2 linked regions of the Anolis sagrei genome follow. The protein of the gene in region 2 binds, or shares a complex with, the protein of the main gene of each other region. Links are inferred from orthologs where the notes say so. Each region holds a gene or a part of one and is shown on either strand. Other genes may lie near its edges. The genes, in order: USP4 and SART3.

Region 1 (7,906 bases), on a different chromosome or scaffold from region 2:
AATGAAAAATAAAAAATAACAGTGTTGTGATTTTTAGGAGAATGTACAAAAAACAAACAAATTAATGCTTTCTTAAGAAAGAACTAAGCGAAAACAGTTTCTAACCGCCTACAAGTAGCTCAATAGAGATAGAGGAGTCACTGCCAAACTGATTTCAGTGACAAATGTTAACACCAATAATTTTAAGGGTCTAACTAAATCTGCATTCAAATCACTTTTTTTAAAAAGTGCAATCAATACTGATAGTTTACAAGGGTAGTACTAGAATTGATACAAGATACCAAAAATTCCATCATCACCACCAAAACATTTTAGGATACAACAATAAAAGTATTTAGATTTCTTACCTGTCCCTGATAGAGACCTGCATCTTGTATAGTGCTGTCAAGTTTGCTTAGTTGTTCATAGGTATTACTCATATATCTGCTCCATAATCTAATTTCTTTTCCATCAGGAATATTAAACTGTTTCCTCATTTCTTTTTCAATGGTAGCTGAAGAGAAAAAAAAAACTCACACCATGTATTTTTAGCAGCTGCTAATAATGGGTTATTAAAAATGCAATCCTTTCCCACACTTTCTTGCTGGCACAAAATACATTTTAAAAGTTCACATTCATCTGAATTACTTTGCACTATTATTACTGGTCTAACATATGTAGAATGGTTTTATATTAATCTAATAATCCTGGGTCCTGGGATCATAAATTGAAGATTGGAACATATATTTAAATTTAGAAAGTTTTGAATTTAAATTTCACGGCATAAACTATTTGTATATTCTCATTCTAAACATAAGAAATCTCTTTTTCCCTTCAAAATAAACCTATTAGTTTTTTCCTAATCCTAAAACCCATAATGTTCCAAAATCTAAAACTTTCTTATATCAGTGTCCTGCTTTCTTGCAGATGGTAGTTGCTGCACTCCTGCCTGTTTTTTGAAAGGTGGAAGTGGGCAGCTGGTAGGCTGCTCAGAGATCTCTTGTACAGAACTGTACTCCCAGTTCCCCAAATGTCACTTCACTTTTATCATCAGTCCAGTCACACACCCCATACACAGCACAAGTAGCAAATGAATGAGACCAAAGATTGGAGTGATAATATGCAAACTATCTGTATAATGGTGGAGGTGTGGATTTGCATCAAGCACTAAACTTGGATTCCCGCCATTACTCAGATATATCAAAATCTGGTCCCAGGCATTTTGGATAAAAGATACTCAATCTATATTACTCTCCAAGCAGAATTTTTTTAATGCAAGAAGAACATCTGAAGTTCAAAATAGCCACTAGCAGTAGCTAAGGTCAAAAGATAAGAACTGAAATATAGCAGCACATTACTTTGCAATGATATATGTATATCAGACAAACAGCATTTACCATTTTACAGGAAATTAGCTATTTTCAACAGAATGTAAAGAATACTACAAGGCACCCCCAGAAAATAGCAAACTATTCCTGCTCTGTATAGTTTTCTAAAAAATTATTATAAGGCATGTAGAAGTGTTGAAAGAGGACTTGTGGCATTAAGAATGACTCACCCACAGTATCTGCTTTGCTGAAATAAGAGCTTACAAGATTAGTAGAGTCGTTGTTTTGACATAGCTTCAACTCCAAAAGATAAACCTCTACTTTACAGTGCTTCACAAACAATCCATACTCCACAACCTAAGAAGAAAAAACTTTTTGTGAGACAGGTACAAACATCTAGACAGCAAAATATTTTATGAAACCAGCCCTTCATTTTCACTTCTATCACATTTTTAATGGATATAAAATCTGTAGCAAATTATTCTTGCTCAAATCCACTCATTTATAAACACATTGTCAGTCATTTTATTTATCTAAGCAAAGATTCTATAAAACTGCATGTTCAGTTCCCAGTAGTCTTTAGCCATACATATCTACTGGGGAGGGACAGCTGCCTCTTTTTCTTGCTCTCAGATATCTTCCCAGGACATTATAAAGAGTGGAACCCTGAAAAATGTACAACACTTTGCAAATTTCAGACAGATACAAGGGATTTAAATTAAAGAAGTTTGTATTTTTAGAAAAGGTGCCACAGAATCCTTGTGTTTTGTGGCCAAGTTGCACAAACACTTACAAAGTTAAGATGCTCCAGCATTTTTTTTAATCCCTGAAAATTTTCAGGAGGACAGGTGGAGGAGTTGTGACCAATATGTGACCAATTGAATGGCAATAACATTACAAGAAAAGTGTAGGAAGCTGCCAGGACAGTGATAGATATGTACAGGTGGGAAAGGCAGAACACAGCTGGTTAGAATTACAACTGAGCAACAACTCCCAAGACTAGACTCTTCTAGTCCTATATAAAAGTCAGAAAAGTGAAGGAAAGTCAATGCAGACATGTCTGTTTCTTGATCAGAGAGAAATGCACACAGTTAGACAGGAATTTTTGAAAACAGAACTCAATGGGATTTATTTCTGAACCACATACAGACAGATTGCACCAGAAATCATACTAGGATCACAAACACTTACTTTCCTCACAATTGGCTTCTGTCCCTCTATACAGCCATACCAATTTACTAACTTATTCCAGGCTTCAGTAGGAACCAACACATAATCCAATTCATCAATAAGGTGCTCTTTCAAAGTCTGAGTTTCTGAATCTAAAAGGAAATGGAATAAGTTACACTCAGAAAAATGAGCAAACAATTCAACACACAGCCATCCTTCAAAGCAGCAGCCAAACAGATACCTTTGAAAATCTTCACAGGCAATTCAAATAGTCATGCCCATGTGGAGTGTTACTCAGAAACCATTACCTTGTGTTCAAAAAATAAAACATCTAATCTATTCAAATACATTTTCAAACTGTGTGATATTGAAGGCTTCCTAAAATTGTACCGCACAGAACTGGAAGATAAAGCAAATAAGAATTTATAAAACTAAAGGACACATACTATTTTTTTCATAATGGTATGCAGCAATGGACATGATCTTCCAGCCTATAGGACCAAACTGACCCACTAGACTCAGCCTACAAGTAATGTTCCTCTCCTAAGTTCTGCTACTTGTTTTGGAGTGATTCTCCCACAGGCAGTTTGCCATTCCAACTGGGAAAACAAGCTGCAGGCCAGGGAGAATCCTGCTGTTGTCACTGATCTCAATGGAATGTGAAATAAAGCCTTGGTATTACCAATTTATGAAGCCAGTTTCTACTTCTTTTTGCACATAGAAGAAAAGCATGATTTCTAGGAGAAAGAAGAGTCAGATGACTGCCCCCTCTCCACGTACACAGATTGGTCCTCAGGGCAAACTTCCCCCACCCTTGATATAGAGAGTTTCTAAAGAAAACAAGTAATTTAGTACTGCTTTCTGCCAAATTCATGACAGTCACAACTTTCTGTAAAATGTGTCATCTTAAACCTATTGAAGGCCTGTTCAAATATTATTTCCAGCTGACTCTAGTTTCCCTTTCACTTTTCCCTGGAAGTTCCCTGAAAGGAGGAGCAACACTGAAATCCAAGCCCAAGGATCTTCAGAATACTAAGGGGGGCAGCAAATGAAAAGATATTTAGATTTTAAGTGCGTCACTTTACCAAGTTCAGCATATCACAAACCTGATCCTTGCATCAATGTTAGAAAACTGATTGAGAACTAAAGCTCTAAGAAGGAACTGATTGAGACATCCAAAGATTGCAAAACACATATGTCTAAACATCTGAAGTTCAACGGCCCACTAAATATACCAACTTATGAAGGGGCTGTGATCATATCTGCCACCAGCATATGTCTTCTTTAGTTCTCTTTCTGTTTTTATGTAAGAAAAAAAAACCCTCACAATCAGCACTAAGTGAAGGAATGGAAGGTGAGCAAACAAATGGCAGTAAGGGTGTGAGAAGCAATTGTTGAGACACTAATTTAAGGGTGGAATCTCTCCTCTCGAATTCAAAAGCAGTTTGGATTGCAACACTTGCTAGAAACCAATTATAACTTCCACAACCAAGAGTTTATTACAAGGGAGGTCCAAATATTACTTCAGAATTAGGAAAACACGCCTAGAAGAGGCTGGAATATGAGGGCATAAAGCCTCCAGATATATTCGCCCTTGCCAAACCCACACAACCTACCCTCCCCAACCCTTTTTATTTCCCCCCAACCATGTTTACCTGCAAAAAGCCCTGAGTTGTCAATGGGTCCTGGGTAGAGATTAGGCTCCCCCACATTATACAGGTCCCAGCTGTCAAAGCCCACGTACTTCTTCCACTGCTTGAACCACCGGCTGTCAATCAGGTACCTACAATTATGAAACGAAAAATGCACCGAGGTGAGTGTGCGTGGGGCGGCCCAAGATTCAGGAGAGAGGGAAGGAAGGAAGGACGGGAAGGCATTGCTAAGGGTCGACGGGGCGGTGACTCAGCAGCACCCCTTCGGGGCAGCCGGCTAGGGAGGGAGGGAGGCAGGAGGAAAGAAGAAAGGTCCTTCAGGGCCGCCGTCCCGCGCGCACTGCTCCCTCCTGCCCAGCCCCCTCCCTCCGGCCGCGCGCGTGGCCATTCGGAGGCCAACGGCCCCCGCGGGGAAGGGGGGGAGGCGCGCGGCCTAGCCCCGAGCCAGCCCTCCTCCTCCTCACCAGGACTCCCCCGGGCACAGCGGCGTCCCCAAAAGCGGCGTGAGCTCAGCCCGCTGCGTCCCCGCGTCCGGCCTCGGGCTGGCCGTGGCTCCTCCGCCGCCGCCGCCGCCGCCACCGCCGCCGCCCTCGAACCCTGCTTCGGCGGCCGCCATGACGGTTGCGCGCGCTGCTGCTGCCGGCCGGCCAGTTCTCCTCTCCTCTCTTCTCAACTGCGGCTCGCCTTCTTCGCCCGTCGCACGCCCAAGGGCGGCACTGCGCATGCGCGACCTCGACGCCCAGGCCCTGGCGGATGAGAACGGCAGGCCGCCCGAGAGACCCGGATTCAGCCTGGCCTTGCGCGAAGAGGGCAACGACGAGGGTGCCCGCCCGGGTCCATCTGCACCGAAGAGTGGGTGCGGTTTGGCAGCTCTTTCACTGACATGGCTTCATGCGCTGGAATCCTGGGAGCTGTAGTTTGGTGAGGCACCCACACAATTTGCCTGAGGAGGCTGAAGACCTTGTAGAACAGCACCTCCCTTGATTCCACAGCATGGAGCCATGGCAATTAAAGTGGTGCCAAACTGCATTTATTCTACAGCAGGCCTGGGCAAACTTGGGCCCTCCCTTCAGGGGTTTTGGACTCCAACTCCCACCATTCCTAACAGCCTCAAGCCTCCTTCCTTTTGCTTAAGCGACTGAATGGGAAAAAGGAAGGGACCTGAGGCTGTAAGGAATGGTGGGAGTTGGAGTCCAAAACATCTGGAGGACCCAGATTTGTCCATACCTGAGCGACAGTGTAGATCAGGAGTCCTCAAACTTTTTAAACAGAGGGCTGGGTCACAGTCCCTCAAACTGTTGGAGGGCCGGATTATAATTTGAAAAAAAAACCCATAAATTCATATGCACAGTGCACATATCTTATCTGTAGTGCAAAAGACACTTAAAACAATACAATAATTAAGATGAAGAACAATTTTAACAAATATAAACTTATTAGTATTTCAATGGGAAGTGTGGGCCTAGTTTTGGCTGATGAGATACGATTGTTGTTGTGTCCTTTCAAGTAGTTTCAGACTTAGGTTGATCCTGAGCAAGGGCCGGGTAAATGACCTTGGAGGGCCACATCCGGCCTCTGGGCCTTAGTTTGAGGACCCCTGGTGTAGATGCACCCTTGAAAAACTTTTTAAAAGAGTCTCTTAAACTGGACTGTGATCAGAATCATGTAACTGGGATGTGAAACTGGGTTGCTGGCCATTTTCCAGAAGCATTGTCTCCTGATGCTTCGCCTGCGTCTATGGCAGGCATCCTCAGAGGTTGAGAAACTGGAAGTTGCTTCTGGTGTGAGAGAATTGGCCGTCTGCAAGGATGTTGCCCAGGGGATGCCCAGATGTTTTACCATCCTGTGGGAGACTTCTCTCATGTCCCCACACAGGAAGCTGGAGCTGATAGACAGGAGCCCACCCTTCTCCCCAGATTTGAACCACTGACCTTTTGTTCAGCAGTCTTGCAACTAAGAGTCAGGCAATAGCTAGTAAGTGAATTGTTGTGAGAACAGTCTGTTTGGCACTATTGTTAGTTTTATGACTGGTTGAAGTATCCTGTTTCTTAGGCCCCTTCCACAGTTATATAACCCAGAATATCAAGGCAGAAAATCCCACAATGTCTCCTTTGAATTGAGTTATCTGAGTCCATATTGCCATATATTCCAGTTCAAAGCAGAAAATGTGGAATTTTATTCAGCTGTGTGTAAGAGACCTCTTATTTTTCCCCATAAATATAGTAGAACTCTATGTGAGATACCAGCTCTCCTTCCATTTGTATTAAGCTTATATTTAAGCCATAGCTTCTGGCTCTCATTGCTCACCTGTCATCATGTCACAGTAATAAGCAAGCTAGGTTTAGAATTTACTGGTTTGGGGTATTTAATAACTAGCAGCTTATACTAAAACAATGGCATATAAAAGAGGCATAACACCTGAATAAATCTCCACAAATTTCAACTCCAGAAGTGTCACCAGTTTTACAAATATATAAAAAGGCAAATGTATTTAGTTCTGAAAAGCTCAGAGGATATATGCTAGGTGAGTCTTCCTACAGAGATTTCCCCATCTATGTAATGTGTTGTACAGTCAGGAAAGCTCTCTGCTCTGTCCTTTCAGCTTTGGGTTTCCAAAACTGAAAGGGAGGGCTTTAGGCAAATTTGTTTCAGTTGAGTATGGAAATTGAAGCAGATGACAATGTTACTCTGTATATGCTACCCACTCCTCTGATCTAGTTTGGCTTTTATATTCTAACTTCAAGGAGGGCTATTTCATTTTAACTGTTCAATATATTGTGCTGTTGGAGGTGAAAGACTCTAGCTCTTAGGGCATCTTGGAAAAGGTAGTAAGATATTCAAGATGGGGTGTTTTTGTTGTTTTTTAAAAAACTTAACTAACCAATTTGATCAAGACAGAAGTGAATAATAATGTAGACTGCAGACTCTGAGATCATTGTAAATATAGTAGTAAAGTGTCCTCATCATGCATTATCTGAACAAAAACTGGAACAAATAAGTGAATTTGTGTTGCAATACAAATAGCTCAGTTATAGCTATGGTTTTCAAGCATTTTATTGTTTGACAATGATTTTCACAAACTGCTGCAGTCAACTGTTTTCCCAATTTAATTTACTATAGCTTCACACAAACTTTTAGAAGATCAGGTGCTTTTCAAGGCTTTAGAAAAAGCACCATCATGAATAAAATTTTGATAGAGAATAGAAAATTAATATCAAGAAAACAGCTGACAAGTCATAGAAAAATAAGCAGTGCAGAAAAGGACAAAGTCTGGTACTCAGGAGTATTGCTGCTTCACAAAGTATGATTTTAAGCCATACATGCTACAGCACATTGTGTTGATACTAAACTGTAATATTTGAAACACATATCTGGAATGTTTAATGTGTATGCGGACTAGGGATGAACAAAAGATTGATAGACTTAGCAGAGATACTATGCTGTAATGGGTACCTATTAACTTTATAGCACATTTAGAAACCACAAGACATAAGTGTCACCTTATGCCTTATAGGTGAGAGGAAATAGCTAAAGGTACAATTCACATTATAGCATAAAAACAAACTGCTCAATTTCAGAAAAGCTTTGCTGTTGTAATTCACATACATAATTTCCCTTCACACAATGAGATTGCTGTGTTTAATATGGGACATACAATAAATGTACTGTAACATGGGAATTAATACATTCAACCCTAGGGTAATTCTAGCTGAAAGCAAAGAGGTGGAAAGACATTTCAGCAAGATATAATATGGTTTGCTCTAAGGAACTTGTTGA
Region 2 (7,906 bases):
GGTTCACACTTCCCATTGAAATACTAATAAATTTATATTTGTTAAAATTGTTCTTCATTTTAATTATTGTATTGTTTTAGGTGGTTTTTCACTACAAATCTATGTGCAGTGTGCATAGGAATTAATTGATGTTTTTTTCAAATTATAATCCAGCCCTCCAACAGTTTGAGGGACTGTGACCTGGCCCTCTGTTTAAAAGGTTTGTGGACCCCTGCTCTAGACCTTCAGAAAGGCTGAACTTCTGTTTCATTTTCACAGTTTTGACATCTAAAGCCTGGCCAAATGTAAAGAAATTAATGCAATGCCATTCTCATTTCTAACGCATCACCAGAAGAACAAAACATGTAGCACAACTGAGATCAACACAGACTGGATCTAAACTGCCATATAATCTAGTTTCTGAATCTAGGTGATCTGCTTTGAAAGGGATCATATGAGTCTACGCTGCCACACAATCCAGTTCAAAGCAGATCACCTGGATTCAGAAAGTGGATTATATGGCAGTATAGATCCAGCCTGTGTTGATCTCAATTGTGCTACATGTCTTGTAGTACAGTGTTGATTAAGTCACAGATTTTATTCCAAAGCCTACCTTCGGTGAGAGGGAAAAGTTCATTCATCTTCTGGCGGGCCCTGCGGAGCCGCACCAGCTCCCCTTCCTGATGCAACAGCTTGATCAGATCCAGGTGGCAATTGTAGTCAAAGGCATTGATCGAGAGCTGGAAGAAGGCAAAAGAGGGTTTGACTCATTCACTGCATTGATCGAGTTTAATGCGCCATCAAATCATATGTGCGCCTCACATTACAAAGACTGCAGCAATTTGGAGTTGCTAAAGCCTAATTAATATTATTAATTCTTCTTATTCTATTTATTTATAAATTATTATTACTACATTTATTTATACCCCACTTATAATATTATTCACATTGTTTATACATATTATTTATATCATATATTATTATTTACATATATTATTATATATTACTTATATATTATAATAATAATAACAATTACGACTACATCTTTATTTATATACTGCCCCATCTCCCCTAGAGGACTCCGGGCGGCTTACAGACAGAAACAGTGTAAAGCAAATACACTGGGGGAAATTCACCTTGATTTGAAGGAATTGCAGTTCACCTAGATTGAGAGAGCACTGTAAACCCAAACAATGATGGATCTAAAGCAAACTCAGCACACATACCTGTTATGCCGAGATTTGATTACTGGAGGGGTTTGGGGGGAACTGGCATTTCTTTCTAGGAGTTTTAGTTCACCTGCAACCAGAGAAACTGTCACCTCCACTGATGATGGACCTGGACCAAACTTGGCACACAGATCTTCCATGACTAACTCAACCTACTGGAGAGTTTTGAGGGAACTGACTCCCCATAATGGGAGTTGCAGTTTACCCTAAAGCCAAAGAGCACACTAAACCCCACCCGTGATGCATTTAGAGCAAACTTGCCCAACATAACAAACTTTAAGTACTGATTGAGCTTTTGGGGTTAACCTGGCATGATGAGAGTTGTAGTTTACCCACAACCTCATGAATTTTGTACAATTTTTCAAATAACCCGGGCAATGCCGGGGACCAAAGCCAGTTAAAGAAAAAACAATGACATTTAAAAACTGCAACAAAGAGAATGAGGCAATGGAAGTAGGATGAAATCCATGCCATGTGCTGTTGAAGGCTTTCATGGCTGGAATGACTGGATTGCTATGAGTTTTCCGGGCTGCCTGGCCATGTTTCAGAAGCATTCTCTCCTGACGTTTCGCCCACATCTATGGCAGGCATCCTCTTACGTTGTGAGGTCTGTTGAAAACTAGGCAAGTAGGGTTTATACAGGGTGCGACAGCATAACTTCCTTTTTTAAAATGCGTGCCATTCAGTCGGTTGAAGACGTAACGGAGCGCTAGTGGTCTCATTCAAGAGGCGGGAGTATAAAGTTTTGTCCTGACACAGTTCAGTCGCCATCCTGCGTTGGAACAGTGAGGAGCGTGCTTCTGCCGTTGAGGCCTACTTTTCGAGCGGATGTTCTGTGATCGCAACCCAGCGCGCCTTTCGGATTCGCTTTAATTTAGCCCCATTGGCCCCTGTCCCAGACGGAAATCAATTGTGACGTGGGTCACTACATTCAGACAAACTGCAAGTGCGACAAAACAAAGAACTGGAGTCCCTCGGCCCATTAGATCACCTGAGAACATTGAGGCAGTGAGAGCTTCAATGTTGCGATCACTACGGCGTTCTGCGCACAAACATGCGTCTGCCCTTGGACTTCCCGATCGTTCTGTGAGGAGAATTCTTCATGATGATCTTCATTTCCATCCTTACAAGATGGCGATTGTGCAGGAACTTTCTGAACATGACTTCAATTCTTGGAGGAACGCGTGTGAGGTTCTTCTCGAAGTCATTCCTGAGGACACTATTGGGGTTTTTTTAGTGATGAAGCCCATTTTCATTTGTGTGGATCCATCAACAAACAAAACATGCGCTACTGGGCTGACAACAATCCTCGAGAATTGCATCAAAAGCCTTTGCATTCACCTAAAATCACAGTGTGGTGTGCAATTTCCTCAGCTGGAATTATTGGTCCCTGGTTCTTTGAGGAAAATGAAATTGCAGTGACAGTTAATTCGGACTGGTATGTAAACATGTTACAGGAATTTTTTTCCTAAGGCTAGATGGGTTGGATTTAGGGGACATTTGGTTCCAACAAGACGGTGCAACTGAACACAATTCAAAAGCATCTATGGCTGTTTTGAGGGAACACTTCCCAGAGCGCCTCATCTCAATTAGGGGGGATTTGGAGGGGCTGGCCCGCTCTCCAGATTTGGCCCCTTGTGATTTTTTTTCTATGGAGTTTTTTGAAATCCCGTGTTTATGTGAACCCTCCAAGGACCCTACAAGATTTGAAGACCAACATCCAGGAAGAAATTGCCAACATAACGCCTGCTATGCTGGCAAGAGTCATGACAAATGCTAGAAATCAGTTTACTCAGTGTATGGAGAATGGGGGACATCACCTACCTAATTTGATCTTCAAAACTACGTAAAACAAAACTTTAGGTATGCACCTACATTATAAAAAAATTCTGATTCATACAATGGGTTTTATTAAGTTTTGAAAAAAGGAAGTTATGGTGCTTCACCCTGTATATCTGTGAAATAATGTCCAAGGTGGGAGAAAGAACTCTTGACTGTTTGAGGCAAGTGTGAATGTTGCCACTTGCCAGCTTGATTAGCATTGAATAGCAGTTTCAAATCCTGGCAGCTTCCTGCCTGGTTGGGAGGTGTTTGCTGACCCTGATTGCTTCCTTTCTGGATTTCCCCTGTTTATTAGAGTTGTTCTTTATTTACTGTCCTGATTTCAGAGTGTTTTAATACTTGTATCCTGATTTTGTTCATATTCATGGTTTCTTTCTTTCTGTTGAAATTGTTCACGTGCTTCTTGTGGATTTCAATGGCTTCTCTATGTAGTCTAACACAGAGATAGTGGAGGTATTGTGGGGTAAAAATGCAGTAAATAAAATAATATATATATACACACACAATGTATATAATTACATTATGTATTTATATACATTATGTATATATATATATATTATTTATAGATATTTATATACATATTATTATACTTACATTGGTGATAGTATGATAGCTGGGTCCAGAAGCTCCGAGCGTTACGCACATTCCGCAATGGCGGTTGTGAATAAGGGAAGGGGAGATCGGCACACTGAGGGTGGGACTATACTTCGTAGTTACATTTGGTGGAAGGATAGAATGGAGGGGAAGGTTAGGATAAGGTAAGGGTTAGGAATAGGGTTTGGGGTCAGGTAAGGATTAGGATTAGGGTTAAGGTAAGGTTTAGGGTTTGGGTTAGGGTAAGGTTTAGGGTTCGAGTAAATAAATAAATAAATAAATACCATTAAAGAACTCTTACATGCCTTCTATAATATTTGTGTTCCGTTTTGCGTTGCGCAAACAGCGCTCCCGAAGGAGCAAAGCGGAAACAGTGTAACACTCTGAGCTTCCAGACCCAGCCTTCATACTATTCCCCTTACATTTATATTATATAGATAACATGTATAATTATATTATTTTTATATTATTTTATATATTATATTAATATTGTAAAATATAAGGCTATTAAGGTTATCCATTAAATGTATATATTATTTATATATGATTATTAGTTATATTTTAATATCATTATTCATACTATTATATCTCTGATCTCTAGATTGAGGCATATTTTTTTAAAAAACCATGACATTGAAAACCTGCATCAAACAGAAGGAGGCATTGGAAGTTGGATGCAATGCAAGCCATGCTTCCTCAGGGGGCGTGGTCTCCCATCGCGAAGCCCCGCCCCGCGCGAAGCCCCGCTCCGGGGCCCTCACCTGCTCTTCCAAGCGCTGAATTTCAGCCTGGTTCTCCTTTTCCTCGTCGGCCTCCGAGGAGTCTTCGGACTCCAGTTCCTCGTCCCCTTCCGAGCCTCCTGCGGCCCACAACGACGCCTCAGCTTCGCCGCCGTCCGCCATCTTTCTCCGCCGTTAAGCCCTTTCAGCTGTCTAATCCACTGCCTGACGGGAAATGACGCGACTGTTTTGGCCGCCTGCATCTTTCCAGCAAGCGGTCCGTTAGACGCCTCTGCTTGGGGGCTTGAAGGAAGGTCAAACTATGTCCTTTCCGGAAGCACGGCTTAGGATGCCGGGGCGGCCATCAAGAGTGTGTCAGTTTCCTTGTCCTTCAATGGCAGCCTATGCTTGCTGGCCCTTGAAAGAAGCATAGTAACAATAAAAATATGCCAATATTAATCAAATAAGAAGAAGAATTCTTCCAACTCTCAACAAGGATGGGATCGATTTTAATCTTTCCATGTTGCGGATTTTAAATTGTACTTTAATGTGATTTTATTATTAATATCATTCCAATAATAATAATAATAATATGACGTGTGATCCAATATATCAGCCAGCAGAGTGATCTTGTCTGCTGTGGACTCATCTTGTTATGTTTCAAAGATCGATGCTTTTGAGCTGTGGTGTTGGAGGAAAGTGCTGAGAGTGCCTTGGACTGCGAGAAGATCCAACCAGTCCATCCTCCAGGAAATAAAGCCCAACTGCTCACTGGAGGGAAAGATACTAGAGACAAAGTTGAAGTACTTTGGTCACATCATGAGGAGACAGGAAAGCCTAGAGAAGACAATTATGCTGGGGAAAGTGGAAGGCAAAAGGAAGAGGGGCCGACCAAGGGCAAGATGGATGGATGGCATCCTTGAAGTGACTGGACTGACCTTAAGGGAGCTGGGGGTGGTAACGGCCGACAGGGAGCTCTGGCGTAGGCTGGTCCATGAGGTCACGAAGAGTCGGAGACGACTGAACGAATGAACATTAGTATTATCATTATTGGAATATTAATATTTATTATCACATTAAAGATTCTTAATTGTAATTTAATGTGATATTATTATTAATAATGCAATAATAATAATAGTACAATAATATTGGAATAATACTGTTATTATTATTGGAATATTATTATTAATATATTATTCAAATTAATATTACTAATAATATTAATAATGATAATTCCATTAATAATAATTCCAAGTCCCAGCAAACACACGATGAATGTTAATCTTTGTATGTTGTGAACTTTAAACTTTATTTTCATGTGATATGCTTGCTGGGGCTTGGAATCATTATTAGAATCATAATAATATTGGAAAAATTTTATATTTATTTATTTATTTATTTATTTGATGCATTTATTAACCGCCATTCTCAGCCCTTTAGGGCGACTCATGGCGGTGTACAACACATATAAAAAGGCAATTTACAAAGAGGCAATTACAACAACATATTAACAATACAACAATTACAAAAATTACACTAAAAATCCGCTTCGTCTCATAGTGGAATCATAACCAATCTCATATTCCTTGTTCCTTTCCAGTCGTCTTTACCACATTTTTATAGCACTTAATTAAATGCCTTCTCGAACAGCCATGTCTTAAGGCTTTTTCGGAAGGACATAAGGGAGGGCGCCTGTCTGATGTCTGCAGGGAGAGTCATTCTTTAGAGTCATTCATTATAGTCATTCTTAGAATGATAATATCACATTAAAATACAATTTAAAATCCGCAACATACAAAGATTATTATTATTCAAATAACATTATTAATAATCTATTATTATCCCAATAAAATTAATATATTGGAATAATATTATTAATAATATAACATTAAAGTACAGTTCAAAATCCACAACATACAAAGATTAACCTCGACCCTGTACTTGGTGGGACTTGGAATTATTGTTATTGGAATAATAATATTGGAAGTTTGAGAAAAGAACCTCTGGAAGGTAAAGGCTTAACTCCTGACCGCGTTTCCCCCCCCCCCCCCCCCTTTTGCTGGGCTTAGCGAAGGGAGTGACGACACAAGGAGGCGTGACCTATGGCGCCCTTGCGGCTCTTCCCCTGGCGGCCACGCCCCCGGGGGCCACGCCCCCGTTGCCCTCCACTGTCCTCTGTTCAAAACATTCAAGATGGCGGCGCTTCGGGCAAGCAGCGTGCGCAGCGCGGCGGCAGCCCTTCTGCGGCCTCGCCCGGGCCCGGCCTCCACCTCCCTGGTCGCGGGCTACCACGAGAAGGTGAGCCCGAGGCTTCCTCCGCTTCTAGGCCCAAAAGAAAGCTCGGCCTCGCTGGCCTTTGGAAGCCCCTTCTTGGCATTTGGGACTTCGAGTCCCAGAAGCCTCGGCTGCCTTGGCCTGTGGCCGAGCATTCTGGGAGCAGCAGTCCCAAGCACTTTGGAGGCCGGGGAAACTAGTTAGGGTCAGGAAAGATATTGGACACATCTTGTAGGATATTTGTGCGCATGCGCCGCTCAGAGCCTTCTTTGGGAGAGAAGAAAAGGGATAGTAATAATGCTAGTGATGATAATCATAATAATTATGATAACAATCATAATAATATAATAATAATGGTAATACTACTGGTTATGATAATGGTAATAAATACTAATCATAAGAATGATAATATTGATGATAAAAATTATAGTAATAATACTGATGATGATATTGCTAATAATACTGATGATAATGGTAATAATAATGATAATTGTACTACTACTGATGATAATAATGGTAATCCTGATGATGATAATGTAATACTGATTATGAAGATGATAAGTATAATGGTAATAATACTGGTGGTAATAATGTTAATGGTACTAATACTGACGATAATAGTAATGGTAATAATAGTGTTTGTTGTTGTTGTTATTTGTTCAATCACTTCCGACTCTTTGTGAACTCAAGCTCCCTGTCGGCCGTGGCCACCCCCAGCTCCTTCAAAGTTAAGCCAGTCACTTCAAGGATAACATCCATCCATCTTGCCCTTCGTTGGCCCCTTCCATTTTTCCCAGCATGATTGTCTTCTCCACGTTTTCCTGTCCTTTCATGATGTGGCCAAAGGACTTCATCTTTGCCTCTAATATCCTTCCCTCCAGTGAGCAGTCGGGCTTTATTTCCTGGACTACGGACTGGTTTGATCTTCTCACGGTCCAAGCCACTCTCAGAATTTTCCTCCAACACCACAGTTCAAAAGCATCTATCTTCCTTCACTCAGCCTTCCTTATGGTCAACCTCTCACATCCATATAATGCAATTGCTTTAACTATGCGGATCTTTGTGGCTAGTGTGATGTCTCTACTCTTCACTATTTATTGAGATTGATCATTGCTCTCCTCCCAAGAAGTAAATGTCTTCTGATTTCCTGGCTGCAGCCTGCATCTGCAGTAATCTTCGTGCCTAGAAATACAAAGTCTGTCACTGTCTCCACATTTTCTCCCTCTATTTGCCAGTTATCAATCAGTCTGGTGGCCATAATCTTGGTTT

Evidence for each region.
Region 1: the proteins of SART3 (region 2) and USP4 are in contact, whole or in part, in a crystal structure (PDB 5CTR), measured with the Homo sapiens proteins. The link is inferred for Anolis sagrei from reciprocal best matches to the Homo sapiens genes SART3 and USP4. Residues at the interface, in NP_055521.1 of Homo sapiens: Asp437, Ser438, Ser439, Lys440, Gln490, Arg493, Glu494, Trp496, Asp497, Met500, Thr501, Ala505, Trp511, Tyr514, Lys529, Arg533, Cys537; in NP_003354.2 of Homo sapiens: Met24, Thr27, Leu28, Ser53, Trp54, Glu123, Gly125, Leu126, Phe127, Val128, Lys129, His130, Cys131, Lys132.

Annotation. Positions count from the first base shown.
Region 1 is NC_090022.1:75,215,481-75,223,386, reverse strand, and holds the start of USP4 (ubiquitin carboxyl-terminal hydrolase 4), read right to left. Parts: upstream 4,950-7,906; 5' UTR 4,854-4,949; coding exon 4,594-4,853; intron 4,261-4,593; coding exon 4,133-4,260; intron 2,630-4,132; coding exon 2,499-2,629; intron 1,665-2,498; coding exon 1,538-1,664; intron 494-1,537; coding exon 348-493; intron 1-347.
Region 2 is NC_090034.1:29,969,439-29,977,344, reverse strand, and holds the start of SART3 (squamous cell carcinoma antigen recognized by T-cells 3), read right to left. Parts: upstream 4,593-7,906; 5' UTR 4,547-4,592; coding exon 4,406-4,546; intron 720-4,405; coding exon 593-719; intron 1-592. Other genes in the region: iron-sulfur cluster assembly enzyme ISCU, read left to right, coding at 6,557-6,661. UniProt on the Homo sapiens protein: U6 snRNP-binding protein that functions as a recycling factor of the splicing machinery. Promotes the initial reassembly of U4 and U6 snRNPs following their ejection from the spliceosome during its maturation.